Linked DNA regions of Rhinolophus ferrumequinum. The protein of the gene in region 1 interacts with the protein of each later gene in a pairwise test. Links are inferred from orthologs where the notes say so. Each region holds a gene or a part of one and is shown on either strand. Other genes may lie near its edges. The genes, in order: LHX9 and KHK.

Region 1 (15,151 bases):
AAGCCCTGGGCTTCAGTGTCTGACCTGGGCTAGGAGCCCACAGAGATTGTTTTTCTCTGCTCTCTCTGGGAACAGTAGCCCCAAGCAAGCCTTTTCTTGCCCATGGAAACTGTTCCGAACAAAAAGGCTGCTGCCCACTTGGAAGGCTGGCTATACCCAGAATGGATCCTCAGCCTGTTCTCCTGCCGGAAACTGAAAGCTTCTTGAACATCCCCGGGGTCTGCTTTGGTCTCTGCTTGTGGCCCCAGGAAGTGTTTTAAAGATCGTAAGGAATTGAAAGGCTCTGGTGCCTTCTCCCACGTTCAATTCAAAACAAAAGCCCTTCTAAACTGTAAAATAAGTGGAAAGAACCCCAGTGAGGTTCTAATAGTCCCATGGATGGTGACTTCTATTGTTCATTTTAGGTCAAGTATTACATAGTATTACATTGTTTCCCCAAGTTGGTGGTGCTCAACTGTGGTGCCCTAAGCAGCACAGTCCCTGGATCCTGTGAGGTGTGGATAGCTCCTAGGATGTAAAAGAACATTCTCTGTGGCCAGGTGATTCCCTCTCCGGAAATTGTGTTGAGGAGAACTGGAGAAGGGTCAGCATTGTGATGGAGGAGGCAGTTGGTCTTTCTCAAAAGGCTTAGGAACTCCTGGGAGCCAATGTCCTTTCCATTGCTAGGTCAAGGAGCTGCCTGCTAGCTCCATGTTTTCCACGAGATGTGAAGATGACCAAGGCCATTTTCTGTGTGCGGGCTGGATGGGGCTTCCTTCAGTAGTCCCAAGAGGGATAAGAGAAAGAAATGGAGTCTAAAAGGGCCATCTTTCCAGAGAAACAAGAGAAAGAAAAGGGCATTCCTTTTGAAAATGAATGTGAGGCACTGTTTTGAGAAAGCCCCTTGGCTATGGAAATAACTTATGGGACGCCTACTTCTGCAGTGGGGAACTGTCCCAAGAAGCAAGGACCCGGATGTCCACCATGGAGGACCTTATGTGGGACTTGTGACTCTTCCTGGCCACAACAGCAAAGGAAGAGTCACAAGTGGGGTGGGGTGGGATGGGGCAGCTCTCCCTCTTTCCTCCATCTGGAGCTGGGAGCCAAGGTCTGAAGTTCTCTGTGGTTCTGTGGTGATGCTTGTGAACCATACACACACACGTCAAGGGTGGCGGCATGGATGGTGCTCCCACATTAAACACAACATGGCCATATAAATGGGCCTCACCGCAAGAGCTTCAAGCTACATTGTATTCCCACATTGTAAAGTACAATTCGGGTTTCTTACTGGCTGTGTGTATCCAAACACACACGTGTGTGCAGAGAAGTCGAGACTTCCCGGTCTAAATCTACTCTGGTGCTTCTCCACTTTCAAGGTTTCTGGGTACTCCTGCCCCAAGAGTCCATAAATCAAGGGACATTGATTCTACATTGTTTCTAACACGGAAAGACCCAAAGGAAGCTGCAGAATCTCGTGAGGTTTACTGGGATGGAGGGTAGGAATAGATTCCAGCCTCAGTGGCTCTTTCCTTCCTGTGGATTACGTGCACATTCCCTCTCTCCAGAAGCCACACTGGCCCCATCTGTTTTGCGGAGCAAGAAAGGGAAGGGTTTTCCCCACCCCCATGAAACTTTGGGCTCCAAAATGGTTGTGTTTGGAACCTAAGGGTCCCCCAGAAGGGGAGATGCCCCTCGGCCCGGCTTGGGTCTTTGTTCCTCCGCAGGGCCCCTTATCCTAAGGCACTCGCATGCGCGGTTCCACTTCCAGGCGCCAGGACGAGGCTAGTGCAGGGGCTCACTGCCAGGCGAGCAGCAGTCTGCCTTCCTAGGAGCACCTAGAGCCGCAGGGTCACTGGTGGCTCAGAAGTAACCACATACACACTCCATGCCGACACCTGCCATGCGGCAATCTTCACATTTGATCAAAGGCTTGGTGTGTGAACTGGACATCTGCCCACCGTGGTGGAGGATTTAAGACTCCGTGCAGTTTTTCACTTCCCGGCAGCAATTAAACAGTACTTCTGCCCAAACTATCCCCTCCGCTCAGGAAAAAAAGAAGGGCATATTGAAGTGTGTGTGTGTGTGTTTGGGGGGGGGGGTTGTCAGCACCCTCTTGCGCGCCTCTGTGGAGACCTTGATTTCTAGAAAAGGCTGTGGAAGAACCCGCAGCAGCTCTCTTTGCCCTGGGATTGCGTGGTTCCTGGGACGCCCAGGCCCTCTGGATGCCCTGCTCTGTGCGGGAGCGCCCGGCGCTGGGCGGAACTCGTCCCCACTAAGGGTTTTATGGTTGGGCTCAAGACACAAAACCTCCAGACTCGCGGCCCCCCTTCCTGAGACTCTGGGTGTAAAAGTGCAAAAACTGGGAACCATGGCTCTAGGGGATTGGGAAATTCCTGACGACCGCATCTTCTCACCCAAAATTTGTATTCTAAAATGTGAGGGGTGTGTGGTTCAGTGCGCGCACCTCTGTGCGCGCGCGCGTGTGTCTGTAGAATGCATGTTTTTACCACAGACCTAAAACGGTTCGTCACCCAAAGAGGATAAAAACCGCTGCTTTGGACAGGGGTGCTTGAGAGCACCTCAGCGTTTTCGGGTGGGTGTTGCCATCCATCCATCCATCCATCCATCCAATAGCCTCGCCAGCGAACATAGAAGCTGAACCGGGAAGGCTTGTCGCCTCCCTGGCTGCGAAAACGGACGGAGATTGGGGGCTTCTCGGGGAGAGAAAAGGCTAAGGAGGCCGGGATGGGAAGGGAACGGCGGGACGAGGGGAACTTAGAAGGTGGACTGGTGGACTAGCTGGCCGATGGCACTGCCTGGTGAAGCCACGTGTGCGGGTACAGAGAGGGGCTCTGTCCCGGGTGCTCTGAGCCTCATTCGGGATTTGGGATGGGGAAAGTCGGAGGGCTTGGATTAGGGGCTCTTGCGGGACCCGTTGCCACCCCTAAACTGTGCGGCGGCGGAGCTGGCAAGCTCGGCGAAGAGGGGCATCCACCCCTGCCCAGCCGCACGTGCCCCGCATCGCACACTGTTTCCCAGGCGCGCGGGCGCCCCCAGCCCACAGCGCCCTGAGCGCACGCACCGCCGAGGAGCCACCGGGGGGACAGCGAAGAGGGGCGGGTACGGAGAGTGGCACTGTCCTCCAGACCTGCATCCCGCAGCGGCCAATCTCGCTGCTCACGTCCCCTGCCCCAGCGGTGATTCCCCGCCACGCCCATCTCTGGCTGCAAGGGGCGCACCGGGTGGGGGAGTGGGGCAATCATTGCCCAGAGGCCGGGCTTCCTGGTTCTCCGTCGCTTCCCCGCGGCCTGATTGCTCCCGGGGCTGCTGGGGCTACCCAGGCCCTCAGGGACCTGAGACCAGGTAACAGGGCCCCCTCCTGTCCCGGGTCTGGGAGTCTGTCCTCATCCCCGAAAGGCTCGTCTCCCAGGACTACAGTCGGTTCTCCCCTGGAAGGTTAATCGCCATCCCCGCCTCCTTGCCGGGCCAGGCGGGAGAGAGACCTCCCGCAGGCGCTCTGACCCGCTGACAACGCCCCGCTGGAACGCCAAGCGCACCCCAAAGTGCCAGGTTCCCGCGCCCCGCCCTGGAGTGCGGAGAGTGAGGAAGGACCGGGAGGGGCGGGCGAATGTGCGGTGAGCAATCCAGGGCTTGGCCCAGCTCCCCGCGCGAGCTACCGCCCCTCGCCGTCTATGCAGGCTCCCGCTGGCGACCGCATCTTCTGGGTGGGAGGGAGCACGGGAAGGCCACGGCCGGATGGGGACCGGAGCCCAGGGCGCACTGCGAGACTCCAGCCTCCCGCGGCGCCCAAGCCTCAAAATGCTGCGGCTTTATGAGGTTCAGTAACCGTGAGGCCTCCATTAACACCTCCCCGGATTATTGAGAGGCTGCGAGGGCGGGACGGAGCGCGTCTCCCGGCACCGGCCAGGGGATACTCTCTGCGCTCCCCTCCTCCCGCGCTGGAAGCATATACAGAAAATAAAAGACAGGTGGAGGGATCTGAGGGTCAGAGGTGAGGGATTCGGGTGAGAGAGAGAGAGAAAAAGAGAGAGAGAGAGAAGAGGTTCCCATCCAATGGTTTATTTATTTGGATTAACAGAGGACCCTCGGCAAGGCCTGAGGACCGGCCCACACCTCCCGCTGCCACCTCGCGGGACACCAGAGTCTTAGGCGGACGTCTGGACCTCAAGGTAAGACCCGATGGGCTCTGCCTGGCCCGAGCAGATTTCTGTCCTGGGCGCGCGCGGACCCGGGTGGGGGGCAGGGTGGACCCGCTGCACGCACGGCCGCTGGCACCTGAGGTCATAGCGGGGGAGCGGTTCCGACAACCCTCGGGTGGGAGGAGGCGCGCGGGGTCCCCGCCGCCACGCCCGCTGACGCGCAGCTCTTGTCTGCAGGACAGCCACCATCGCGGCGTGAGCCGCACCTTGGGCTCCGAGGATGCTGACCGGTACCACTCTAGAGGCAGGTGAGTTAAGTGCCCGGGGCCTTCTCGTTTTAGCTGCCTTTTTCCTTGGGCCAGTGTGCATATCATGTGTGTGAGTGTGTGTGTGCACACGCGTGTGCGCGCCGTCACTGGGAGGAAGGAAGAGGCGTGTGTATTTGTCTTAGAAATTACCCTGCGCTGCATAGGCTCTAAAATACACAGTGTCAGTAAGAGTCTCCAAGCAGGCTTCCTGAAAGCCGTGTGTCCCTGCTTCAGCCTTTCTCTTGAGGGTCTGCCTTAGCGCTGGATGGAGGTGGGGGCGGAGGTCACGGTGCCCCTGAGCCGCGAGTAGTCGGTGGCGCGGAGGGCTGCGCTCCGACCCTCGGTGGAGCTGCCGGGCATCTCCTTCTGGGAAGGGGTAAGGGACGGTGCAGACAGCGCTGTCACCCGGGCAGGGCTTCGCTGCAAAGCGGCTTCACCCACGTTGCTTTTGTTCACTCCGCCGTTTCAGCGGACGCGGTGCGGGACAGGTCGGTTATTCCTGGGGCGGCGCTGCAAATGTCAGGTAAAGGGCCTGCAGATTGCAGAAGCGCGCTGTGCTGGACTCGGCGGCCATCCCCTTTTGGAGAAGAACCGGGTCTGTGGAAGACAGGGGTGTGAAGGGAGCAGGCGGCCGGCGGAGGCTTTGCGGGCGCGGAGAGGGTGCGTGGTCAGGAGCACACGCAGCGCGGTCCGGGTACCCTCGGCACATCCGAGCCTCCGGCCCACTCCCCTTGGATTCCGAGGCCTTCCTAGTGGGACTGAATCAGGCGCGCCCGTGAGGCAGCGCCAGGCTTAACCTGCCACCCTCGCTGGTGGAGAGTTTGGCACATTGAGATCCCTCTGTCCACCGACTGGAGAAAAGCCCGGCGCCTCCTGGCCATTGGCTCCCCGCTCGCGCAGCGTAGCCCGGCGCCCAGGGCTGGGTGGCGCCGCACTCGGTGAGCGGTTCCCACCCACCCGAAGGCACTGACTCCCGGGCCCTAGGGTTCTCACGACAGTGCCCAAAGCCGAATACTGCTTGAGCAGCTGCACCTCGAGACCAAGGGGGCTCCTTAACCAGCTTACTAGGGTCAGAAGGAAAGGTGACCTCTGCCCTTTGAAGGGCAAAGCCGGGGGCACAGGATCTTGGCCTCCAAAATTCAGGTCTAAAGAGACCTCGAGCCGCTTACGATCTTCGGAGACGCAGATCTGCTGGGTTATTTTCCTCTCTGGAGCCCAGCGTCTCTGCTGCCCCTGGGGAAAGCCATGCATCCTCTCTCCTTTCCCTCCCCTTCCCTCTGGGGAGTTGGGTACCGCCCTCGCCCTGGTGGAGAATCCAGCACCTTGAACCCTCAGTCCGCTCCTGTGCCCCGCCAGAGTCCAGCCGACGGGGGACTGGTGGAGCAGAAAGAGGAGAGGATGGCGTGTGCCCAGCTGTGCGGGAGGGCATCTCTGGACGGGTTCGGCCCCGTTGCTCCGAACGGAGCCCCGAGTTCAGAAAGGAGACTCCAGACGGTGTTCCGGGCTTCGGGCAGGGCGGATGGCTTTTATGGCACTCGCCGACCATTCTGCGGGCCGCCGAGCCCAGCCCCTCCACGTGAGAGGTGAAAGAAGGCAGAGCCACAAAGAACTCTCCTTATAGTGCTTACTGTCCTTTGAGAGTGAGGGAGAGCGAGGAGGGGCCCTCTTAGGTAAATTTCCAGAGCTCCGAGACGCCCCAGGTCACGCACCCAATTCTCCAGCATCCTCTTCCACCCCACTCTTCCTCTTTGAGGAACTGTAGGAGGAAGCTGGGTTGCAATTTCCGTAGACCGAACAAGGACCTCCCAAACTCCGGCAGCCCCCCTGCCCCACCCCTAGCGTTCTGCAAACTTCCTGCGCCGTCTGAGGAGGAGTCCTGCAGTTCGCTTCTTTATGGGAGTGGCCAATCCCACCGGGTGCAGGAACTTATAACCCGACGTTTATAGGAAAAAGGAGGCAACCCAGTAGGCGCCCTGCTCTACCGGTATCTGATAGATAGTTAACACATATGCGTGGAACAGAGGAGCGGAATGAATGAATGCATGAATGAATGAATGAATGAATGAAGGGCTGACAGGACTTCTGCCCTTGGCTGCCCTGGAGACTTGTCACAAAGTTCTGACTTTTTCCTGGAGTTGTTGGTTAAACTTTCATTTCATGGAATCTCCAAAGTTTCATCTCTTGCAAGCAAAGAACGAGTTCTTCGCTTTTTTCGCCGAGAAGGACCAAAATTCCAGCAACAGCCAAAGTGAATTCCAACCCCCATTTGGAGGGGGCGGGGCAAGAGTTTTGCTCATAAACTAGAGAAAGCGGGTCCCTGGATTGAGGTCCCATCTTTTCTTTTTCCTCGGAGCCTCCTTGGGTGAACGGATGCTCGTCTCTGAGACTCCTGCTTTCTCCTCCTGCTCGGGGATCTGTGTCCATTTAGCTGCTGATTTGTGGGAGGCGACCTGCTCTGGTGACAGGACCTGCTGTCTTAGGAAGGTGGCTGTCCCAGCCCCTCCTTGGGGCCCTTCGTTGTGCACGTGGGTTTGCCAAGCTCATTGATTTCCATACAAAGGGGCTGATTACATTTACTTACAGTAAACAGCCTTCCAGTTGTCTGGTAGGGCTTCCAAAGTGAGGGGGGGGGGAGTGGGGGGGGCGGTCTCCAACTTAGTCCACTTGATTGGCTTAATTTCTGTGTGAAATTGTGTTTTACGAGCTGCATTCTGATACCCTGAGGATTGCAATAGCGCCCCGTCTGCAAATAACATCATTTTTGACCCTGAGAAAAGAGCAAGGAGAAGCATGGAGTCTTGGGTTTCACGCAAGAGGTGACTCCAGCAGCTTCAGAAAACGATGCTTTAGGACAGGAAGTCAGGCTGCTGCACGGTGGTATTTCCCTCCCTCCCTCTATTCTTACCTGCTTGCCTGCCTTCCTTCTCCTGGCTCATGTCCTTCCTTTCTTCTTCACCCCATTCTCATTCTTTCTTCTCTTTTCCCTCTTCCTTCCTTCTTTCCTTCTTCCTTCCCTTCCTCCTCTCCCTCTCCCTTTTTCTTTCTAGATTTGAGTGCATTCCTTGTAGGTTTCCGAAGAGGGAAGCGAGTCTGCCACCAGGGGACTCCCTGAAGTACCAGGACGTGTCAGGACTTGACCCCACTGTTCCCTGGAAAGTCGTGGGGAGCGGTGGGACAGGCAGGCAAGAGGGAGGAAAGGGGCACGGATCAGCCTGGGCTTCCTCCGGTCGGGTTAAAGCTGGGTTGGTTCCTGCCACTCCTGCTTCAGGCCTCTGGGGGACTTCTAGTGGTTTGAATGAATCGACAATCTCATAGTATTGTGGACACTTTTTTATAGGGCCGAGGAGAGGCTGCCGCTAACGGGAACAGAGGGAGACAGAACAGTCTGGCCTCTTGTGGGGTACAGGTCTGCTGTTCTGCATGTCAGATCTCACCTTCCCTTCCTCCACAGCGAGGAGTCCCTTTCACATCCTCCTAAATGTCCCGTTTTTCAAATCCCCTGTCCTGCCAGGGCAGTGGGAACAGAAAGCAGTAAGGCATGGACCGAGCTCACGGAGTCCCCGAGTCGCTGCCCACATTGACAAGCTCTAAAGGGGACACTAGACTCACCAGCACGTTCCCTTCGACCTGAACTTGGTAAGAGAATGCAGCACCCCAAGGCCGCGTTCAGTTGCAGACTCACGCCTGCAAGCAGGCCACGCCCCTGTTCTCTACACTCACCTTTCAAAGAAAATCATTTTTGCCCGAATGTAAACTCCAGAAACATAGGCTCTCCTAGCCCCTTCTCACTTTGAGGGACTCACTGGCCCCTGGCAAGGTCCGCACCCCTCTGGGGAGGTGAGGAGACCTGTTTTTAAAACATGAGCTGAGGAAGAGGGGTGAGGGAGGGAAGGCTTGTCTCTCCAATATTTAGTCATTTGGGGTCCCAGTAAGCTGGGGTCCAGAAAGTCCACACAAGAGAAACCCAAAATTTGAAGCTGGCTGTTCTGTTTGCCTTGAGCCAGGTCTGATCCTGAACTTGGACCAAATAGGCCGGTTGGCTGCTTCCAGCACCAGGGCGGGGGGTGGGGGGGGCAATAACGGCTCTTTTAAAACGGGATTGCTGGGAACTCTAGGAAGGGTGTGTGTGTGTGTGTGTGTGTGTGTGTGTGTGTGTACGCGCGCGCACGCGCGCACGCTGTGGGGGGGGGAAGTAAATGCCCCCACCCACTACCTCCCCCCGCGCCCCCCCTTTGTAATGTTTGTCCCCGCTTGCCCATCACCAGGGGGTTGAGAGGAGTATGACAGGTCTTTGTTGTCTGAATAAAAATCGGTGGCAGCTCCTGGGAGAGAACTCCTCCTACTAAATTATCAAAAATGGGCTGGCTTTAGTCTCTTAACAAATTGGACACAGCTCCGGCAGGAGCAGTCCCCAACCCAACCTACAGGCGCTGGGAACTTGCAAGCAGCCAGGGACCGCCGAAAATAGCACTTCTTTTTCTTTCTTTGTGTTCAAAACTATTTTCTTTCTGCACAGATTTTGTCCCCCCCTGCCCCACCTCCCGCTGCAGTTGTTTCTCATTAGTAACTCGATCTCTCGGAGCCGTTAAGATTCGTCTTCTTCGTCTCCCTTCCGCTCCGCCAGTGTTTGTTTGTTTTCTGCACGTCTCTTTCAGGGAGCCGCTGGGGCGGTTTATCCCCCTTCTTTTTCTCCTTCTTTTCCAAGCAGACCACCTTCCACCCTGTCTGCCTCTTTCTTCTTCCCTGTCTCCCTCTTGCCCTGTGTCCCCGAGCGTCTCCGCGCTCCTGCACCGCGCAGCCTTTGCGGTCGCTTCTGCTCCTTCCCTCGGATGAGCTGAGAGCCCAGGGCGCGTGTATATGGAAATAGTGGGGTGCCGAGCAGAAGACGACGCGTGTCCTTTCCGCCCCCCAGCCATGCTCTTCCACGGGATCTCGGGAGGCCACATCCAAGGCATTATGGAGGAGATGGAGCGCAGATCCAAGACCGAGGCCCGCCTGGCCAAAGGCGCCCAGCTCAACGGCCGCGACGCGGTAAGGAGGGCCCCAGGCGGGGCCGGCGCCCTGCGCGCTCTGGAAGCCGAATCCCGGTTCCTGGCGGCCCACAGAGGATGGCGGGTCGTGGGGACATCCGCTCCAGACTGGCGGGTGGGTTTTCTCCCGTCACCTTGTCAATGGGGCTTAGAACCGGGCACCTCTCTGCCTTGAAATGTCTCCACTACTGAGACCCCGCGCTCTCCACCCTCTGCCGCAGCTGTTCCCCGGAGAGATGAGCGAGCCGGGAGCGAGAGGATGGGGACCTCCTCTTCTGCCGACCTCAGACTCGGTTTCGGGTCCCCTGGGCTCCCGGGCGCTTCCCCGGCGAGTATCACGGCCCGAAGCGCGAGCTGGGCGCGGGCGGTGGGCGGACTGCGCGCGGCCCAGGCGTCCGGGCCAGGCGGGAGCCCTGTGGCTCTGGTCTCGGGTCTGACGACCGGACCTTTGGAGTGGACTGGAAATGTCTGAGCCACCTCCACTTCTCCAGACGCTCGGAGTCCGGCACCCCCAAACCCAGCGATTTTCCGGGTCTCTGGCAGCCGCCTTCGGCCCGTCTAGCGAGTCAGGACTGCGCTCAGCTCCCGGGCGGGACGCGTGTCATGTGCAGGGAAATCTAATAAAAAGCCGGAGGAGCGGGGTCCTTGGCCGGAGCGCGAGAAAGTGCTAACCCTTAAACGATGTAATGCACTACCACCGTCACTACTATTCATAATAACAAGAGGCATGTCTGCTTCATAAAAACTCAATTAATAATCTACGAGTTTCCCACTTACGAGCAGGAGGGGAAAAAACTACAAAAGCCTCCGGAAATGATTTCAGTGCGACCGAGCTGTGGGGATCCTTAGGCATCCCACCGGGAACTGTAGCTCAGACCAACCCGGGGCACTGCTCTGGGCCCACCTGCCCGTGCTCTGGGTCCACCAAGGAGCCGAGTTCGTGGGTGTTTCTACGTTTAAAACACGAATTCCGCGCACGTCCCTGGTCTGATCTGAGTCAAGGGCAATACTTTCCCTTTCCAGGCCCGCCAAAGTTTCGTCCAACCCATTTCTGCCGGTTTGCAGGGAAATAAAAGTCCAGCGGTTAGCTTCTTCCCCCTCCCCTTTTGTAGTCATCCTGCTTAAAAACAAAAAGCAGCACCCCGAATTTTGCGAAGGGGCTGGCTGGGCTTGTCCAGGTGAGATTTCCCGTTCCTGGACGCCTGGGTGGGGACGCAGGAGGGAAGCTGAATTTGGGCACCAAACAAATTTTCAGGACAAAGATCTCCAAGATATGTGGAAGCCAGGGAAAGAGGCACTGTCCAAAGGGCACGGGACAACGGACCCTCCCTGGGAACAGGCACTAAACACCCTGGCTAGGAGGAGAACCAGTATCCTTGAAAATTAGCGAAAGCAAGACCTGACAAATATATCCCGATCAAAACAATGGAGCCCTACCTCTGAGCACAGGCATAAAAATCTAGCCATTTCTCTCAATGTCAAGGCTGTTCACAGGAATTTAGAGAAACAGAATTGTTATCGTGTTTGTTTAAAAACAACCGTGCTCGCTCAAACTTCCTTTCCATTCCCCAATAACAATTTCCCTTGTTTGATGTTGTATGCCTTGAAAGCCACACTTTTTAGCTTGTGATTTTTCGAGTTTGGAAACATGCGCCAAACTATCGTCCCTGCGCTCCCAGCCCTTTTAAAAAGAGGTTCGAGGTGGCCGGCCTGTCCTGTTCCTTAGGGGACCCGTCCGGGGAGGACGGAACGTGGGCTGCGGCGGACGGCGTAGAAAGGGAGTGAGCGCAAAGGGAACTTTGCAAACGCTTCCCGGTGTTGACCTTGGCACACTGGCCCCTGACCCCCGGCTCGGCTGCCCCGGGACCCCGCGTCCTGCGGCCCCGCGTCCTCCTCAGCGTGCGGTGTGCTTGCCTTCCTTACAGGGCATGCCTCCGCTGAGCCCGGAGAAGCCCGCCCTGTGCGCCGGCTGCGGGGGCAAGATCTCGGACAGGTACTACCTGCTGGCCGTGGACAAACAGTGGCACCTGAGATGCCTGAAGTGCTGTGAATGTAAGCTGGCCCTCGAGTCCGAGCTCACCTGCTTCGCCAAGGACGGCAGCATTTACTGCAAGGAGGATTACTACAGGTATCCCCGCCCCTGTCCCTGGCGCCCCGCTACACCTGGCACGGCCATCTGCCCGAGCCTCGCTCGGCCCCGGCTTTTGCCCCTTCGGGGAGCAGTCATCAGCCCCCAGGCCAGGGAAGTCCACTGCACACGCCTTCAAGCTGCTGCCCCCCAGACGGCCGGTGAGGATGGGTGGGGCGACCCGGGGTCCGGAGCGTATTCGGTGAACAGCGCGCGCTCGCGGCCCCTCGCAACTCTCGGAGGGAACCGGGAAATCGTGGAAGACTGAATGAGTGTGTTCCGGTCCTCCGAGACGAAAGCGGCTTTTTTCCGTTTACTACGAACTGGGCAAGGTCCGCGCCTTGGTAGTGAACTGGTGGCCCGGGTAGGAGCCGCTGGGTGTTAGGTTTTCGCGAGGGGTGGCGGGAGACCGTGGAAATGACCATGGAAACAAAGGATGGCCGTTGCCGAAAGCCAAACCCTTCAGCTCCGAGTCCCCGTTGCCGCAGCTGAGAACCGGCCGCCAGACTCCACAGCGCCCGGCAGGCGCGTTTATTGACTCTTCCCAGCGGTGCTGTGCAGGTGACCTAGCTCTGCGCGCAGCGAGCGAGCAAGGCGGCTAGAAAAGAATGCGCTGTCCCCTGCAAAATTGTCGTTGTCCGGGGCTGTGTCTGCCTGCATGCTTTCCGCACACTCACACACCCATAAAAAACACCACCCTTCCTTCACAGAATGTTTGTAATCGATGAAATGTTTTCACTTGCATCGCGGTTCAGTATTCTTTCCGTAGCCCTGGGAGTTAGCCAGTGCAGTTTTTTTTTGTATTTGTTGTTGTTGCTTTTAATTTCCATTATACAGAGAAGGACACTGAGGATTAGTCACTCAGTTCTTCCGATTTTAATGTAAGAGTTCTTTGTCCCGTTGCCTAGAACAGGTCAATGAACGAGTGAAATGAACGCCAAAGTCGCCCCGTCCTCTCCTTCCCTCCTTCCCTCTCAGGCTTGGGCCACCGCTGACCAAGCCCCAGGTGTAGCGGGAGGGAGATGGCCCTGCCTTGCCTCAACCAGCGCCTGACTCAACTGTTTCCTTCCAGAAGGTTCTCTGTGCAGAGATGTGCCCGCTGCCACCTTGGCATCTCCGCCTCCGAGATGGTCATGCGCGCCCGAGACTCTGTCTACCACCTGAGCTGTTTCACCTGCTCCACCTGCAACAAGACCCTGACCACGGGCGACCATTTTGGCATGAAGGACAGCCTGGTGTACTGTCGCGCCCACTTCGAGACCCTCTTGCAAGGGGAGTACCCACCGCAGCTGAGCTACACCGAGCTGGCGGCCAAGAGCGGAGGCTTGGCCCTGCCTTACTTCAATGGCACGGGCACCGTGCAGAAGGGGCGGCCCCGGAAACGGAAGAGCCCAGCGCTGGGAGTGGACCTCGTCAGTTACAACTCAGGTGGGTGCCCACCACCACCCGCTTCAGCCCCGGACTCTGCTACCTCGAGACGATTCCACTTGAGCTCCTTCCGGCCCAAGATGGGGTTCCAAGAGGGTGCTTTGCTTAGTAGGCCCATCCTGCCACTACTAGTCCCTTTCACGCAGAAGGGAGGGAAAGATGGAGGAGGAGAGGAGGGGGAGAGGGGGAGGGGGAGAAAAGCAGGGGTGGGGGGGCGAGGGGGAGAGAGAGAGAGAGAGAGAGAGAGAGAGAGAGAGAGAGAGAGACCTTTATTTAGGTTGTGGCGAGAGGCACATCCATTACCATAGGCCTGTGATGACTTCCCCACCCGGCGGAGCCAAGTCCGCGGTGCCCCTTAGTTAACGAGCCCATTAGTTTCTGGCTCCCAGTTGGAGCAAAACAGCCCCAGGGCAATTCCTGTGTGGAAGCCACATTATAGATCCTGGAGAAGGCTTTCCTACTGAAAGAAAAAAAACAGAAAAAAAAGAAAAAGAAATCTTCAGAGCCCAAGCCCAGTCTGTCTAGAGGGGCACAGGCTGTGGCTAATCAGGAACACAGTTGGCAAGTGTTGAGAAACCAAACCCCTGATCTTGGCGAGAGGCAGCTGGCGGGGTGGCCGTCAGTGTGCGCAGCTGAGCTGGCCCGCGCCTTCCCGGAGTCAGGGCACTGGGCTTACCAGCTCCTTTCCCGGGTGGTGAACCAGCAGGCACCCAGCCGGCGGAAGACAGAGAACCTCCAGGTCAGGCGCCCCGAGGAGCTTCCTGGTGTCTCGGGCTGCCTTTCGGTCCTTCACCTACCTTCTCATTTCCTTAAAAGCACAATGCAGGGACCAGGCCACAGAGCACCCTCTTTCTCGCTTTGGGCACATACCTATCAGGGTCAGTCTCTCTCACCCACCCATTTCCTGTTGTCGGTAGCCTGCCCGCACCCTCCACCTTCCAGGAGGGGACGGTGAGGACCACAATTCTGAGCAGGAGGGACGCTCTTCTTATGAGCCCCAGCCCTGGGAAAAGCGGTCCCCGAAGCTCCAGGCCAACGTTGGGGAGCCTAAGGACTGGCTTTGCTGCTCTGACTTCCCTGGCCCTGGCGGGGACCCTCGGTGGCGGGCAGAAGAGTCAGACTAGGGGAGTCCAGTCTGTTGGAAGGGACCTTGGGGAGCTCCTGGTGGCAATCCCACTCCCTTACCATGAGCACCAAGTGTGGACATCGCAGAGCACGGGTCTTGCTAATTCTCCAGTCCCCACGTGCCTGGTAGGGCGCCTGAGCTTTGCTGGTTCTCAACACTGTCCCGCCAGATAAGTAATTTGCCCAAGGGAATCCCATTGCCAGTGGGAACTAGGAGTCCTGCTCTGAGCCCAGTGTTTTCAGGGGAGGCCCCGCTGGGTCAGCCCTCCAGCTCTCTGCTCGGCTCCCTCCTGGGGATATCGGCTGATGTCGCTGATGGGGACGAATCTGTCCCGGGTAAGAGCCGCGCTCTGCGTCCCAAGGAGAGTGCGGAGTGGGGAGTCCAGTGCAGCTCCACTTGTCCCTAGGGGTTCACGCCAGGGTCACTAGATGAAGGAAAAAGGGCTGGGCGGCTCGCCACGGCCCCACCTGGATGGGTTTGTGTCTGGGCGCTGGGTGCATCCCCAGGTTTCTCTAACCCTTGGCCCAGGGTCGTGGCCTCGCGCTGGCCCTGCCGCACTCAGGCCAGAGCTCTGGTTCGGGCCACTTTGCACGGTGCCGTTCCTGGGTCTCCTTTGATGCCTGGTTCCCGGAGGCAGGACAGACAGGGCAGTAATTGTTCTTTATTAATAGAAGATGAGATCGGAGTCTGGAGCCACTCACTAAGGCTCTAGTGCCCTAATGAGAGAGAGAGAGAGAGAAAGAGAGAGAAACAGAGAGAGAGAGAGAGAGAGAGAAATCACTAGTATGTCCCTGGGAAAAGAGGGAACCCCTGAGATCCTGGGAAGGTCCGGAAGTGTGGAGGACATTTTTAGCCAAAAGGTGACAAGCCTGGTTTCCCTTGTTTATTTAATCAAATCAGCTAAATTGGATTCCCCTTTGGATCTTACATTAGAAAGACCTAGAAGCTTTGAGGACAGTAGAATTCTGTTTCTCCTACTGCCCCAGGAGAAC
Region 2 (15,169 bases), on another chromosome or scaffold:
AAGAGCTGTCGGGTCAGGCCGATGGTTGAGTTTGACTGAGTTCCTTGCCTGCTACGGAGGTTATCAGACTTGCCTTCAGGCTAGGGAGTGACTTCCTTTTCTATATAGATAGGGCCCTATTTTCTATATAGATACCTCCCTCCCCTCCCCAACTTAAGGCCTGACACTCACTAAGACAAGCCTGGGACCCATATTCATTTGGCCTTTTAAAAGGCTCCCTCCTCTGCTCCCCCTTCTCCAGATTCCTTTCTTCCTTTTCTGGCGTCTCTGAATTTCCTGCCTGCCTCAGTGGAGTCCTTTTCCTTCTACTTGACCCAGTAGCCCTCTCTCCTATCCGCCTTCTTTCTCTCAAGTCATGACCTAGGTATTTAGATTCTAGTCTCAGCCCTGCTGTTGATCTGCTGTGTTACCTTGAACAAGTTACTCTCCTTCTCTGGGCCTCAATTTTCATATCTATAAAAAGGAGAGAGCTGGACTGGTTGTGAGTGATGTCCTGCGGAGCCCTCCAAGCCTGTTCTCCTATTACAGTCCTCCCTCCTCCTGTCCCCTCCAGGCCCCTCTCTCAGGTCTATCCCAGGGGAGGCCTGCCCTAGCCCCAGGAGAGCTGTGGCTCCAGCTCCTGTTCCCCGGTTCCCCGTCTAAGCAGCCAGCCCTGGGCCTCCTCCCCAGCCCTGGCCCCGGCTCTGCTCCATGTGGCCCGTCTGAGAGGCTGGCCCTAAGCCCGGCGGCAACTCCACATTTCTCTGTTTTTCCTTTTTTTTTTCCCCTCTTTTTCCCGGAGTTAACAAGAAGCAGATGTGGCGCACGATGGTTGGAGAGGTGGGGGGAGGAAGGGGGAGGCTGGACCGCCAGCCAGACAGGGGGGAAGGGAGGGGAGTAAGCAAGAGAGAGAGGCGGGAGGCCAGGGCCCGCCCCACACAGCCACTCTAGCGCCTCTGGACAGCCACAGGGGTAAAGTCCTGTCACCCCCAGGATCCGGTCATTGGGGAAAACAGATAGGGGACCAGAGGAGGGCCAGCTGGGGCAAGGGGGCGGAGGCCCAGGAAGCAGCATCTGAGAGGGGCAGGGACCAGGCACAGGAGGCCGGGGGCACTGAGAACAAACTCCCCTCAGAGGTGGAGAAGAGGAGAGCGGAAGGAACGAAGGGAAGAACAGACGGGAGCCTGAGGAGGAAAGAGGAGGGGGAGAGAGGTCAGGCCAGGAGGCCAAGGAGGAGGCGAGTGGCTGGGGGCTGCCAGCAGGAAGCTGGGGACAGGACCCAACTTGGAGCAGCGGGCATCCCCACTCCAAGCAGAGGCGCCAGTGGTCAGGCGGGATGTGCCTCTGAGGGCCACAGCGGAGCACCCCCACCATGGCCCCCAGGAACCTCTGGAGCTGCTATCTCTGCTGCCTGCTGACCACAGCTGTGGCGGCAGCTAGCTACCCTCCTCGTGGTTACAGCCTCTACATGGGGAATGGCGGGGCCCTCAGCCCTGGTGGGCCCCAGGCCCAGAGTGCCCCCCGGCCTGCCAGCCGCCACAGGTAAGAATCTGGGTCCCAGCCCTACGCTGGAGGTAGGTGGGAGGGTGGGTCAGAAGGTGGGTATCCTGGCCCTGCCCCACTTTGGCTACCCTCTCCTGGGCTGTATCGCCAATGCAGGGAAGAACGGGAGAGGAAACCCATCCATCAGATGGCTCCTCACACGCCCACCTTCCTGCCGGGTGTTTCCAGGGCCCCCCTGCATAGATGGGTCCCATCAAACCTCATAGGATCGGCTCTCACGTCCTCCCCATGGGACGTGCCGTTAGGTGCCCAGGGAAACTACCCTGAGGGACGTGGGCCAGGCCTTCCGGCCAGCTGTGTGCCAGCCTGGGATCCTCGGGCAGACCTTTTATTTCTGTGTAGGGCTTCCTCGGCCCATCTAGTAATCCATGATTTTAACACCACTCCTGCTCTGCTCCCTTCGGGTCTCCAGCCGGACACAGATCAGAGGCCAGCATGAATGGGGCCAAGAGTGCAGAACTGCAAACCCCATGGGGGACAGGGCTCATCAATGGCTTATTCTCTGCTTAACCTTGAGCTGGACCCCTGCCTGCCCAGTCCTCTCCCCTGCGGGGCGGGTGGAAGCCAGCATCCAAAGAATCACCAGAGGGCCCCCGCCAGCCGGCTCATACAGGCCACGCCAAGCTGGGGATTCAGACAGCGAAACGAATGAATGTGTGAATTCAGAGCCTCTCCAGGACCCCCTCCCCAGCCATGTATCAACTTTTTGTAGTTGTGGTTTTCCATTCTGTGCCTCTTCTCCTGTCTTGAAAAGTCTTTATTGACTCCGTCCCGTACAGGAAGGCGTGGGGGGAGCTGCCCCGGCCAATGCCCTGGCTCCCACTGGTCCCCAGGGGCCCTTCATCTTTTGACCCTCCCTCAGCCCTTCTGGTAGCCTCAGTGCCCTGCTCTGGGGCGTGTGTCTCTGGCCCTCGGGCCCAGGTGAGGTTGTGCCTGCAGGAACTGGTGTGCCTACGTGGTGACTCGGACAGTGAGCTGTGTCCTTGAGGATGGAGTGGAGACCTTCATCAAGCGCGAGATCCCGGCCTGTGGCTGGGGCCAGCCCCAGTGTCACCGCAGCATGATGTGAGCCCCGGCGCTGGGGAATGGGTAGTTGGAGGGGGCTGGGCTAGGACGGAAGGCGACCAGCCAACTCAGGGAATTTGTACAAAGCAGGTAATTGTGGCAAGGGGCAGGACCAGGGGTTTCAGTCGGAGCCATTTTGAGAAGATGCCGAGGCAACATTTTGGTGGGATATTGAGGACACACTTACCAAGACTACCCTGCCAGCCCCCGAATGCCATCTCCTTGCTGGGTCATGCTCAAGGAGAGGAGTTCAAGGTTCCAGCACAGCACAAGGGGAGAAAGAATAGGGATTTGGCCCTTGGCCAGCAAGCTGACAGCTGTCAATGGAGCCAGGCCGCATGCTGGACAGTAAGGGTGGCCCAGCCTGAGGGACAGGTCTTGCCCACCAGCAGCTGCCCATCTCTGAGGACAGGGGCCAGGGTCACTGACCGTACAGGGAAGAGTAAAGAGCCCTCCCTCTACCTCTCCCAGGTACCGCAGCTTCCTCCGCCCTCGCTACCGCGTGGCCTACAAAACAGTGACGGATATGGAGTGGAGGTGCTGTCAGGGGTACGGGGGTGATGCCTGTGCCGAGAGTCCTGCCCCAGCGCTGGGTCCTGCACCGACCACACCACGCCCCCGGCCCCGGCCCGGCCGCCCCAACCTCTCAGGTTCCAGTGCGGGCAGCCACCTGAGTGGACTAGGGGGGGAAGGTGAGTATGGGAGCCCTGGGGAGAGAAGTGGGAGATGGGATTGGGTGGAAAATGTGGTCAGGATGTTGAGGGAAAACCCCATGCTCCAAGTCAGAAAAACAGGGGCAGAAGGGAGTTAATGAGATCCCTGAGATTCCCTGTCCGTGCATACATGCGCGCACGCGTGCGTGCCTGCGTGCGTGTGTGTGTGTGTGTGTGTGTGTGTGTGTAACAGATTAAGAGACCAAGAGAAAAAGGCAGAGAAAGTGAATGTGCTCACGCACGCCCACATGTGGCCAACATACTTCCTAGTTGGGAACAGCTGCGGGAGGAAGGGGGAATTCCTTCGAGAAGCTTGGTCCAAAGGGGTAGACAGTTGAGACTACAAGTCCTAGCATGCACTGCAACCGACTACAGGTCCCAGGCCTCTCGGTGGCCTCTGGAGACGGCAGGTCCCAGAATGCAGCAGTTCCTGTTGCTTTCCCATGTGTGTGCTGGGCGCTGCGGATGTGCTGTGTTTGCCTGCCAGAGAGATAACCATGATGTAATTATAGAAACAGGAACTTCTGGCCAACTCTCCCCGCATCCAGCCAGAGCCCCCGCAGGCTTGCCACGGAACCTTGTTTGTCCCGTGGTGTTGCAGAGAGGTGCTGTTCAGGAATAGCCACTGTCATGCAGTCCACACTGCCTCCCCTACATTCCCATTTCATTTGTTCTGAGGGAGCAACCTAGTGTCATACCTATTTCACAGATGAGGACACAGTTTCCATAGAGTAAAGAGGCCCTCTGGACAGTGGGAAGGACATGGGCTCGGTGGTCCAGTGGATGACTTGAGTTTGAAACTTGGCCCTGCGATGTATTACACTTGTAATCCACAACCCAATTACTTAGTCTCTCTGGTCCTTGATTTCTCAATCTGCAAAATGGGAAGAGTTGATGACAGCTGCCCAATGGAGTTGTAAGGGGGAAAGGTTTGTCCTAGAGGCATTTAGTGAATGGGAGTTTTCTTCCATCTTTTCTTGCCCAAATCACCCAGGAAAGGGGTGGCCAGATCAGCTAGGACCTCTGACCTGTTGGAACTGGGGAGCTGGACCTAGGAGGTAGGCACTGAGCTCTGAGGTCCAGCCTTATGCCTTCCCTTCTCTGCCAGGTCCTGGGGAGTCAGAGAAGGTACAGCAGCTGGAGGAGCAGGTACAGAGCCTGACAAAGGAACTGCAGGGTCTTCGCGGTGTCCTGCAAGGACTGAGTGGGCGCCTGGCTGAAGATGTGCAGCGGGCTGTGGAGACGGCCTTTAATGGGAGGCAGCAGCCAGCAGATGCAGCTGCTCGCCCTGGGGTCCACGAAACCCTCCATGAGATCCAGCAGCAGCTGCAGCTCCTAGACAATCGCGTCTCCACCCATGACCAGGAGCTGGGCCATCTCAACAACCATCACAGTGGTGGTGGTAGCAGTGGCGGCAGGGCCCTGGACCCAGTCCCACCAACTCCTGGCCACAGCGAGGAGCTGCTACAGGAGCTGGAGCAGCGGCTGCAGGAGTCCTGCTCTGTGTGCTTGACGGGACTGGATGGCTTCCGCCGGCAGCAGCAAGAGGACAGGGAGCGGCTTCGAGCACTGGAGAAGCTACTGGCCTCTGTGGAGGAGGGGCAGCGGCAGCTCACAGGGCAGATCCTGGGCCGCAGGCCACCTCAGGAATGCTGCCCACCAGAGCTGGGCCGCCGATTGGCAGAGCTGGAGCGGAGGCTAGAGGTCGTGGCTGGCTCGGTGACAGTGTTGAGCGGGCGTCGAGGCACCGAGCTGGAAGGAGCGGCAGGGCAGGGGGGTCACCCCCCAGGCTACATCAGCTTAGCATCCCGCCTCTCTCGCCTAGAGGACCGATTCAACTCCACCCTGGGTCCTTCGGAGCAGGAAGAGAGCTGGCCTGGGCATCCTGGGGGACTGAGCCATTGGCTGCCTGCTGCCCGGGGCCGGCTAGAGAAGCTGGAGGGGCTCCTGGCCAATGTGAGTGGGGAGCTGGGTGGGCGGCTAGACCTGCTGGAAGAGCAGCTGGCAGGGGCTGTGCACGCTTGTGGGCAGCTCTGCTCTGGGGCTCCAGGGGAGCAGGACTCCCAGATCAGCAAGATCCTCAGTGACTTGGAGCGCAGGGTGCTGGACAGTGAGGCGCAGCTGCGACTGGTAGGCTCAGGCCTGCACAAGGTGGGAGCAGCTGGGGAGGCCCAGCAGGCTGCACTGGAGGGACTACAAGGGGTCATAGGCCAGCTCCAGGGTCGTGTCGATGCGCAGGATGAGATAGCTGCAGAGTTCACGCTTCAGCTGAATCTCACAGCTGCACGGCTGGGCCAGCTGGAGGGTCTGCTGCAGGCCCGTGGGGATGAGGGCTGTGGGGCCTGCGGTGGTGTCCAAGAGGAACTGGGTCGTCTTCGGGATGGTGTGGAGCGCTGCTCTTGCCCCCTACTACCCCCACGGGGCCCTGGGGCCGGCCCGGGTGTTGGGGGGCCAAGCCGTGGGCCTCTGGATGGCTTCAGTGTGTTTGGGGGCAACTCAGGCTCAGCCCTACAGGCCCTGCAAGGAGAGCTCTCCGAGGTTATTCTCACCTTCAGCTCCCTCAATGACTCATTGCATGAGCTCCAGACCACCGTGGAGGGCCAGGGAGCTGATCTGGCTGACCTGGGAGCCACCAAAGACCGCATCATCTCTGAGATTAACAGGCTGCAGCAGGAGGCCACAGAGCATGTTACGGAGAGTGAGGAGCGCTTCCGAGGCCTGGAAGAGGGACAGGCACAGGCTGGCCAGTGCCCCAGCCTAGAGGGGCGATTGGGCCGTCTGGAGGGAGTCTGTGAGCGGTTGGACACAGTGGCTGGCGGACTGCAGGGCCTACGCGAAGGCCTTTCCAGACACGTGGCTGGGCTCTGGGCCGGGCTACGGGAAACCAACAGCACCAGCCAGACACAGGCAGCGCTGCTGGAGAAGCTGCTGGGGGGGCAGGCGGGCCTGGGCAAGCGGCTCAGTGCCCTGAACACCTCCCTGCTGCTCCTGGAGGACCGACTTCACCAGCTCAGCCTGAAGGACCTCACTGGTGAGGGGGCAAGAGAAGACCTGGGGTGGTGGGGGTATCCCTTTCAAGTCCTTCCCCGGCCCCCACAACGGCCCAGGTTTCACCTCATCCACTTTCTCCTTGCTCTGCCCAGCAAAAATCGCAGACCCAACACTGTCCCAGGGTTGGTTTATCCACAAGAGATCTTCCAAGGTCCCAGCTCCCAGCCCTCCCCTGGCAGCTCGGACAGGCCTGTGGGTGGAGGTGGGGTGCTGCTCTGCCTGCCAGGTATCCAGCACGGGCAGCGATGGGTCCCATCAACTTGTCAATGGAGCCACAACCCTCTTTGTCCTTTGGGAATTCCTCATGTGGCTCTCCTTCAACTTGTGTTTGTCGCTGTAGGGCCTGCAGGTGAGGCTGGACCCCCAGGGCCTCCTGGAGTACAGGGACCTCCAGGCCCTGCTGGACCTCCAGGACTTCCTGGCAATGATGGACAAAAGGGGCCCATCGGACCACCAGGTATGTGGGCTGAGATTCTTGCTGCAGCCGGGTTACCACTCCCCATGCCCCCCGATTAGCCCCAGGCTTGACATTCTACTCTGAACTTGACAGGGAAGGGGGGAAAGGGGCAAGGAATTGGGAGTTCTAGATGGCTGGTAGTGACGAGGAAAATGACTAGGAGCTGTGTTGGCTAATTGGATATGGCGGCCTCACTGCTGTACTGAAGACCAAGGTTGAGTCTACAAGGCCTGTGTTGCATGTGAAAAGCTAGGGGCTAAAGAGGTATGGCCTAACAGTTGAACAGAGTGGACCTATCCCTCCTTTTCTTAGTACCCCTTTCCTGCTTTGAAGTCTGCATAGCACCTAGCACAGCAGCGCACACTCAGCAGATGTTTGCCAAGTGACTTAGTGAGAGCTGCTGTACTTCTCTTCTCACTGCTCCCTTTCCTCTTCCCACAGGTCCCCAAGGTGAACAGGGTAAGTTCTCATGTGATGCTGGGGGGAGGGGAACTGAACTAGGGGTTGGAGGATGGAAGGCCTCAGGTGGTCTTGAGGGTAGAGACCCAGGAGGAGAAGGGGGCTAGGCAGCTCTGCACTGAGCATCCACTCTGACACCCACCCTACCCCCACCCAGGAGTGGAGGGGGCACCAGCAGTCTCTGTGCCCCGGGTGGCTTTTTCAGCTGCCCTGAGTTTGCCCAGGTCTGAACCAGGCACAGTGCCCTTTGACAGAGTCCTGCTCAACGATGGGGACTACTACGATCCAGAGACCGGTAAGCCTGGGAGAAGGCTGGCTGGGCACTGCGGGGAAGCAGGCGGGAGCGGCAGGGAGGCTATGCAGTGACGTGCTCTCATTCTTGCCCCTTCAGACAAGGTGAAACTCTTCATGCTCTGGTTTGGGGAGAGCCTGTTCTTTCCTTCATTTATTCGTTCTCACCACAGCTTGGGCCGAGCACTGGGGTGGGGACGGGAGGAGCCATTGGTTCAACAGCTCTTTACTGGGTCTGGCTCTTGCCCAGGCCACTATTGTGAGCGCAGGGGATGCGGTGATGAACAAAACACGCAATCCCCTGCCCTCGTGGAGCTTACAGTCTGGTGGAAGAGAGATGAAAAGACCCAGCAGGTCCCTCCCTAGTCCAAGAGTTCTGGGTCGGGAAGCCTTCAGGGGCTCTGCCACCTGTCTGTCCTCCTGACTGCTATCCTTGTCCCCAGGCGTGTTCACAGCGCCACTGCCCGGCCGCTACTTGCTGAGCGCAGTGCTTACTGGGCACCGGCACGAGAAAGTGGAGGCTGTGCTGTCCCGCTCCAACCTGGGCGTGGCCCGCATAGACTCCGGTGGCTACGAGCCTGAGGGCCTGGAGAATAAGCCTGTGGCTGAGAGCCAGCCCAGCCCCGGCGCCCTGGGTGTCTTCAGCCTCATCCTGCCGCTGCAGGCCGGGGACACGGTCTGCATCGATCTAGTCATGGGGCAGCTGGCGCATTCGGAGGAGCCACTCACCATCTTCAGCGGAGCCCTGCTCTACGGGGACCTGGAACTAGAACAGAAGTAGACTGGGGGTTGGGCCGACCTGCCCGGAGTCTAGGCCGGCCAAAGAGCCAGCGGGGGCGGCGATCCCGGGCACCCCAGCCCCGGGCGAGTCGCCGTCTCGGGACCCGCCGCGGCACTGGCATCCAGAGCAGCGTCCTCCCCACGAACGGAGTGCGTCGGGTTGGGGTTTCCGGAGCCCCTCGTCCAGACTTTTGGCCTGATCGCTGTCCCCTGCAGGACTCGGACTGTGGAAGAGCCGATCATGGCCCTCTTTACTCCCCCAACTGGCCTCTAGGCTGATTCCCTGGGTTTCAGGGCTCTCCCGAGGGTGTTTCGGGAGAGTACCCCACCGCCATACTAAACTATTCAGGAATAAAGACACTTGGTTTTTATAAAAAACAAAACAAAACACCCCGTCTGCTTCAGTATGTTCAGGTATAGATAGGAGTACACAAGGGACAGGATGGGGGAGCCCCGGTTCCGGACCCCGCCTCGCGCCCTCCGCTCTGCGCTGCGAGGCTCTGCCAGCACTTGCACCGGACGTGCGAGCCACACTAGACCCAGGTGAGACCCTCCTCCCAGTCACGCCCGTCCCGCCGGCGTCCGCCAGGGGTCGCTGGGCGCCGTCTCCCGTCACGTGACCATCACCGCTCTCCTTGCCCGGCGGAGGCGGGGCCTCGGACTGGGATTGGCTGAGCGTCTGGGCCCCGCTGTGCAGTAGCGGGCGCGCGAGCCACTGCTTGGACTTGCGGGAACTGGTTGCAGCTGCGAGGTCCGCTCAACTCAGTGGGTCTAGGGTGTGCCGTGGGAGCCACCCGTGCAGGAAAGGGCGAGCTAGGGGCGCCTTTCTACTGGACTTTCTCTTTGCATTCATGAGATTGCCTAGCCGTGCTTTCGCTCCTCCGTCTGACAAGTGAGGAAGCTGAGGCCGAGAAGTGGGAGGCGTTGCCATCTGCTGGGCCACACAACCTGTTAAGGAGAGCCAGTGGCCAGGACCTCGGGGTCTGCGCTCCCACGTCCGCTTGCATCGGTGGACGTGGAGAGCGAGGTTCTCTGCACCCCACTGCACCCGCCGCCGCTGCAGGAGGCTTCCCTGGAGGAGGAGCTCGAGACGCGGAGGCGGAGCCAGGGCAGAGAATACAATCCTAAGGGATAAGAGCCAGACCGGGAGGAATCTTTGCAGCCGGGTGGGCAGAAAGCTCCAGGAGCGGCCTCATGGAAGAAAAGCAGATCCTGTGCGTGGGGCTGGTGGTGCTGGACATCATCAACGTGGTGGACAAGTACCCGGAGGAGGACACGGACAGCAGGTAGGGGCACCCGGGCCCCTCGGAGACTAGGGCCTGCTGCAGCCCCGTGTTTGTGCCTGGCAGCCAACACTACAGGGCCACGGAGTCAGGGGCCCCGCATTAAGGCGGTGAGAGACCAACCTCGGGAGCCCGTGCCCCGTGCCCTCTGCCCGACACCTGGGGAAAGAAGTGAGGCCTTCAGTAAAAAGGCCCAGACTTCAGATAGCATTGTGTTCTCCAGTTCTCATTTCATCCCTGGGACTATGTCAAGTATGATTATCCCCATTTTACCCATAAGCAAGTAGACACTCTTGAGAGACGAAGTGATTTATCCAAGGGCATGCAATTAGTACAGTGTAGGGCCAATTTTTTTTTTAACATGACCTATGCACTTGCCTCTCACCAGCATTTACTTCTCATTTATTTAGTACATATGTATCTCATCTATTAAAATAATTGAGGTAGCCTACCATAAAAAGTATGTACAGTTAAGATTGTTCAAGAACATTTAAAGGTGTGGTATTGAGCTTCACCATGTGGCTCAGGGCTCGCTGGCACTGGCAACTTTGGAGATGCTGTGGGTTATGGACAGAGCTGGTCACTACAGACTTTTCCCCTGTGCTAAATTCCAAAAGGAGCTTACCGGAAGTCCTTTTTATAAAAGGAAAAGTCTGTCGTGAAAAACGTTCTTCTCAGTTGTCTGGTAGAAGATGAAGAGTCATTTGGTGGTTCTTACTCTTGATAAGAACCCCACTGTTACACTGTAATCCCAAGAAGGTATTTCTGTGGGTGAAATACAGGCCTTTCTCTTGGTGCAGTCCAGTGCTTAGAATACTGAGAAGAATTGCTCCTTGGCTATTCTGGATAAAAGGCCAATTCAAGACTGAGCTCAGCAAGACATTACAGCACTGATAGCCACGAGGCTAATAGAGGGGAGAGACCGGGCGTTCCTCAGGCTTTGGGATCATCCAGCAATGTCATATGTGTTACCACATACTTTCCTCACAGCAACACATGGGAAGTGTGTAAAGATCAATCAGATCCTTTCTTTATAGCTGAGGGAGATGTAGAGACATTATGATTTTTGTAAGGCCACGTGGTTCACAAGTGGCAGAGCAGTCATCACATCCCAAGCCTCCTAACTCCAAGCTTAGCGCTCCAGCCCTCCGTTGTCTGTCGTGACCCCATCCCATTTCTGCTGCCCTTCTCATGGAGCTCACCCTTGGCTTTGGGCTGCTTTGTTTGCCAGAGGTTAGAGCCTCTTGCCAGGGGTGCCGGGGCCAGTAGGGGAGAGGCACAGGCCAGCCCCCGCTCCTGCACAGTGAGGAGTTAGGCGTCCTCTCAGAAGAATAGTCTACATTTCAGGGCCACAGGTCCTCCAAGGACTGGGGAGGGCCTGGGGAAGACCCAGAGTGCCTCTTTCGACAAGAGCTACAGCCCCGTTCCTCTGAGCTTATGTCAGGAGGCCAGGGTGAGGAGATCCTGCTAGCTCCCACCCTGACTGGGGCTGGTTCTGAAGGTGGGCACTCAGTGCGGTGCCTCTCTAAACAGAGCCAGCCCATGTTCTCAGTACAGCTGCCCTTAGGTGTACTTTCCCCTCCCCCAGACCCCTGGCTCTGCTCCTCTGCAGAGCACTTGGGTTGTGTAGGGCCTCTCTCCTGTGCTCCCATCCCACCCAGCACAGAGGAGCAAGCCTGAGCGGGGCCAGTCCTCAGCCATCTCAGCCCCACTTGTCCCAGGCTCCACAGGAAACTGGGGACTCACTGGAGCTGCCGCTTGGTACTTGGCCCGACCCCTGAGAAATGGCCCTGTCTCCCAGAGTCCAGGCCGAGAAGAGCCTTCCAGAAAGTATCCTCATGCTCATTAGAATCTTCCTGCCCCAGAAGTTGGGTATCAGTGTAATTTTGAAGGGTTTCCACATAGTACAATTTATACCCTTTTTTTGACACCTCATTCAAGCTGGAGCCTGACTACTCTCTCTTCAGAAATACAGAGGACACCACAGTGGTTTAAGAGTCAGGAAACCTGGGTTCTCATAGTAGCTTTGTCATTAACTATTGGTGTGACCTTGAGCAAGTCAAATGCCTCCAGGCTCCTCCTCTCGGCATGAAAATTCCTCTAAAGCTCATAGCTTGAGAAACGTTTGCCCCTTTACAAATTGGTATCCGTCTTTCTAATGAGATTATGGTCCCCTTTTCCCTGAACGGAAGTCCAGGGTTAAGTTTTGTGTACAAATAAACTTTAGTCTAAAAATTCTGCTTCATTTGTTTCCCTTAATTAATGGCTCTTTGGTACTTGTTCCTCTTATTGTAAGCGGCCAAAGTTATCATTATTATTCTTTTTGGCACTGGGAGAATAGAAATAACATCCTGCATTGTTTACCCCACAGTATTATTGGCGCACAAATGAGATATCATTAAAGTGCTTTGATACGTATGCATAAGTTATCATTTTTGTTGATGATTACAATGAAGTCATACAGGTGTATCTTGAGTTAGTTTCCTCTTGTTAGATTTTCAGTAAAGATGGAGAAAAACTAAAGAAAAGAAAGGTAACTATGTGATGTTATGGACATGTCAACTAACCTTATTGTAATCATTTTGCAATATAGATGTATATAAAATCATCACGTTGTGCATCTTAAACTTACAGAATGTTATATGTCAATTATATTTCAATAAAGCTAAAAAATAAAAAATAAAAGGAAACAAACCAAAAAAAAAACGATGGAGAAAAACTGGTCTTCACCCAATAATCTTTTTAAAATTTTTGATATTGTGAAAGTTAGCACCCCCCAACCCTCACTTCTTAAATGATCACAGTGGGTTTGATTCCTGTCTTACTCATTTTAACTTGAGTTGTTATTGAAACAGCTCTTCTCAGAGAGGAACACATAGTAGATTTGACACCTTTGGGAAGGAAGCAGCACTTGTAGTTATCCAGCTCTCAGGAGAAGGCTGTCCCAGCTGTGCCTGGGGGAGAGCGGGCCATTGTAACTGAGGAGGAGGTAACCCAGAGGGAGTGGAACCCTCAAGTTGTGACGGATCTGAGTGAATGGTTTCCTAATGTCATAAGCATAGGTGGAAGATAGAAATTCATTGCTGTGCATTTGAATTTAGCCTGGATTGGAGAGACAGACCTGGTCCTCAGCCAAGCCACTGTCCTTCCCTAGCGTCAGGCTGCCCATCTAGAAAATGGGAAGACTGGCCTGGCTGCTTTCAGAAGGAGTTCTCCCAGCTTTTACATTCTGTGGCCCCTACCCAGGCACTGTGATCAGCCCTGCTTATTTCGGGATCAGCCTGCTGGCACTGCAGGGACCCTCCTTGTGTTTTGCAGGTGCTTGTCCCAGAGATGGCAGCGTGGAGGCAACGCATCTAATTCCTGTACCGTTCTCTCCCTGCTTGGAGCCCCCTGTGCCTTCATGGGCTCGCTGGCCCCAGGCCACGTGGCTGAGTGAGTTGAGGAGGGTGCAGGGGAGGCCTGCCTTCAGGGTGGGGAGAGAAGAAAGTCTTACCCCTGGGTGGTGGGCTATAAGAAGAGGTGTGTGGCCACCAGACACGGGTGGGAGGAGGCGGAGAGGAGTACCAGCATCCCAGACCCTCCCTGGTGTGGTTTATCTGCTGTTCAGGCGTTAACACTGCTCCTGTGAAAAGTTTCATCTGTATAGCCTGTTTCCCTGTCCACTCCCTGGAGCCTGCTCCAGCTTCCCCACTTTCTCCTTCTTTGCTTCCAACAGATTCTGAGGTGGATGTGACTTTGCCCTTCTTAAGTTCTTTATTCTAGCAGTGCTTGAGGCAGAAGGCAATTAGGGACATGGTGGACCCACCCTCCCTGAGAGTTGTCCAGCATCCATGGTCTGAGGGTCCAGGCCTACAGTTTCTTTTCCAGTTGAGAGGGCAGGGCCAGTGCTCGTGTCCCAGTTGTTCCCTGAAGCAGCAAGAGCACCCTGCCCAAGGATACTCTGGAGCCACGTGCTAAAGCTGGGCCCAGACCCCTGCCTCCCGGCTCATCTGCTGTGAGGCTGCAGCCAGTATGTGGCTTACACACTTACACTCTGTTGGCTACTGCAGGGACCCAAGGTCCCTTTGACCCCCTGGCACTGCCAACTCAGCATGCACTTATCAGGAGGTGAGGCTTACACTTTGCCCACTGTGGGCACTGGAGTAGGCTGCCAGGTTGCTGGCCTGTGAAGCAAAGCCCTTTGAACCCTGGTTTGGAGGGGGAGGGAGGCTGCTGCCAGAGCCCTGCCCCCGAGCCACAGCCAGATGACCTTCCTTGATGAACTGGAACAGAGCGAATTAAGGGGTGAGAGCCTGCCCTGTGAGATGGAACAGAAGGTCCCGGAGTCAACAGCTGGTCTCTTGTTAACCCTTTCCAGCAGCTGCCTTCCCTCCCAGCTAGAAGCGAGACTGGCTCTTGCTTCAGGTAGTGGACCCATCTTTATGTAGCAATCATGCTGATAGTGGGCCATTTCGAATTCTCCTCTTGTGTTCAACAAACATTTAATGAGCATCTGCCATGTGCCAGGCACTATGGGTGCAGAAAGTTATTTGGCAAACCAAACCGTATTTTCCAGACTATGGGGAACCTACTATTTAAAGGATCTTTGAAGTGTAAGACAAGGACCGATGTCCCGACTTGTGTGTGTGTGTGTGTGTGACACGCCATTGAGCCTCTACTCCTGGTGACCCTGTGAATGAATGATGTCCACAATGTCCTGCCCTAACAGCTCCTGTAGGCTCATGCCTGTGGCTTCTTTTATGGAGTCAGTCCATCTCATGTTTGGTCTTCCTCTCTTACAGCTGCTTTTTTATTTTCCCAGCGTTATTGTCTTTTCACTTTTATACAAATCTGTATTGTCCAGCTTTGGTGTTGCTATAAGTGGGATCCAGTCCTAGTGAGAAAAGCCAAGATGATGGCTGGTCGACTGACATAAGTGCCAACTGTTGAGCACAGGACACTGCATTTCCGGAGACGGCCAGGAGGGATGGGCCTGGCTTCCTTGTTCTCCTGCTGGTGTAGTCTTCTTGAGGGGCTGCCCCGGGCTCGCTCTGATTGGAGGGGATTCTGGGCAAGAGTCCTGGACCATGCCCATGCGGAGGGGCCTCAGGCACTGGGAGCCAGCTCACTGCCCGGGAGGGTTCGCCTCACTGTGCGAGGAGAGGACAGTGAGCAGGGCTGCCAAGGCAGCACCACTTTGGCTGGGCATCATGGTGTAGCATGAGAGGACTCATGTTTGGACTGGAAGGGACTTCAGAGAGAAGAGGGCCCTGGGGATGAGTGTGCAGAGGGCAGATGGGGAGCAAAGTATCATCTTGGTAATTCATTTTTAAAAAACTTTTTCCCCTTGTTTATTCATCTTGGTAATTATTAATTCTGCCTGGGCTTTGCATGAAACAGGCCACAGTGTCCTCACCTACTTGTTTCAAACAAGGCACATGTTCTAGGCCCCAAACCTACCCCAGTTAGCTTTATGGATGCGAGAAAATCCTTTCCAGCTTGAATCAACTGAAGGCCCGTGTCAGGATTGGAGTTTGCTTCAGTCA

What was found.
Region 2: the proteins of LHX9 (region 1) and KHK interact in binary tests that used the Homo sapiens proteins (3 or more experiments, as listed by UniProt). The two-hybrid records come from large-scale screens. The link is inferred for Rhinolophus ferrumequinum from reciprocal best matches to the Homo sapiens genes LHX9 and KHK.

The regions. Positions count from the first base shown.
Region 1 is NC_046310.1:2,812,255-2,827,405, reverse strand, and holds the start of LHX9 (LIM/homeobox protein Lhx9), read left to right. Parts: upstream 1-8,868; 5' UTR 8,869-9,304; coding exon 9,305-9,478; intron 9,479-11,402; coding exon 11,403-11,605; intron 11,606-12,677; coding exon 12,678-13,033; intron 13,034-15,151. UniProt on the Homo sapiens protein: Involved in gonadal development.
Region 2 is NC_046296.1:53,555,479-53,570,647, reverse strand, and holds the start of KHK (ketohexokinase), read left to right. Parts: upstream 1-8,884; 5' UTR 8,885-9,552; coding exon 9,553-9,644; intron 9,645-12,959; coding exon 12,960-13,076; intron 13,077-15,169. Other genes in the region: EMILIN1 (EMILIN-1), read left to right, coding at 1,352-1,521, 2,482-2,607, 3,079-3,299, 4,429-6,351, 6,712-6,828, 7,270-7,287, 7,445-7,582, 8,022-8,359. UniProt on the Homo sapiens protein: Catalyzes the phosphorylation of the ketose sugar fructose to fructose-1-phosphate.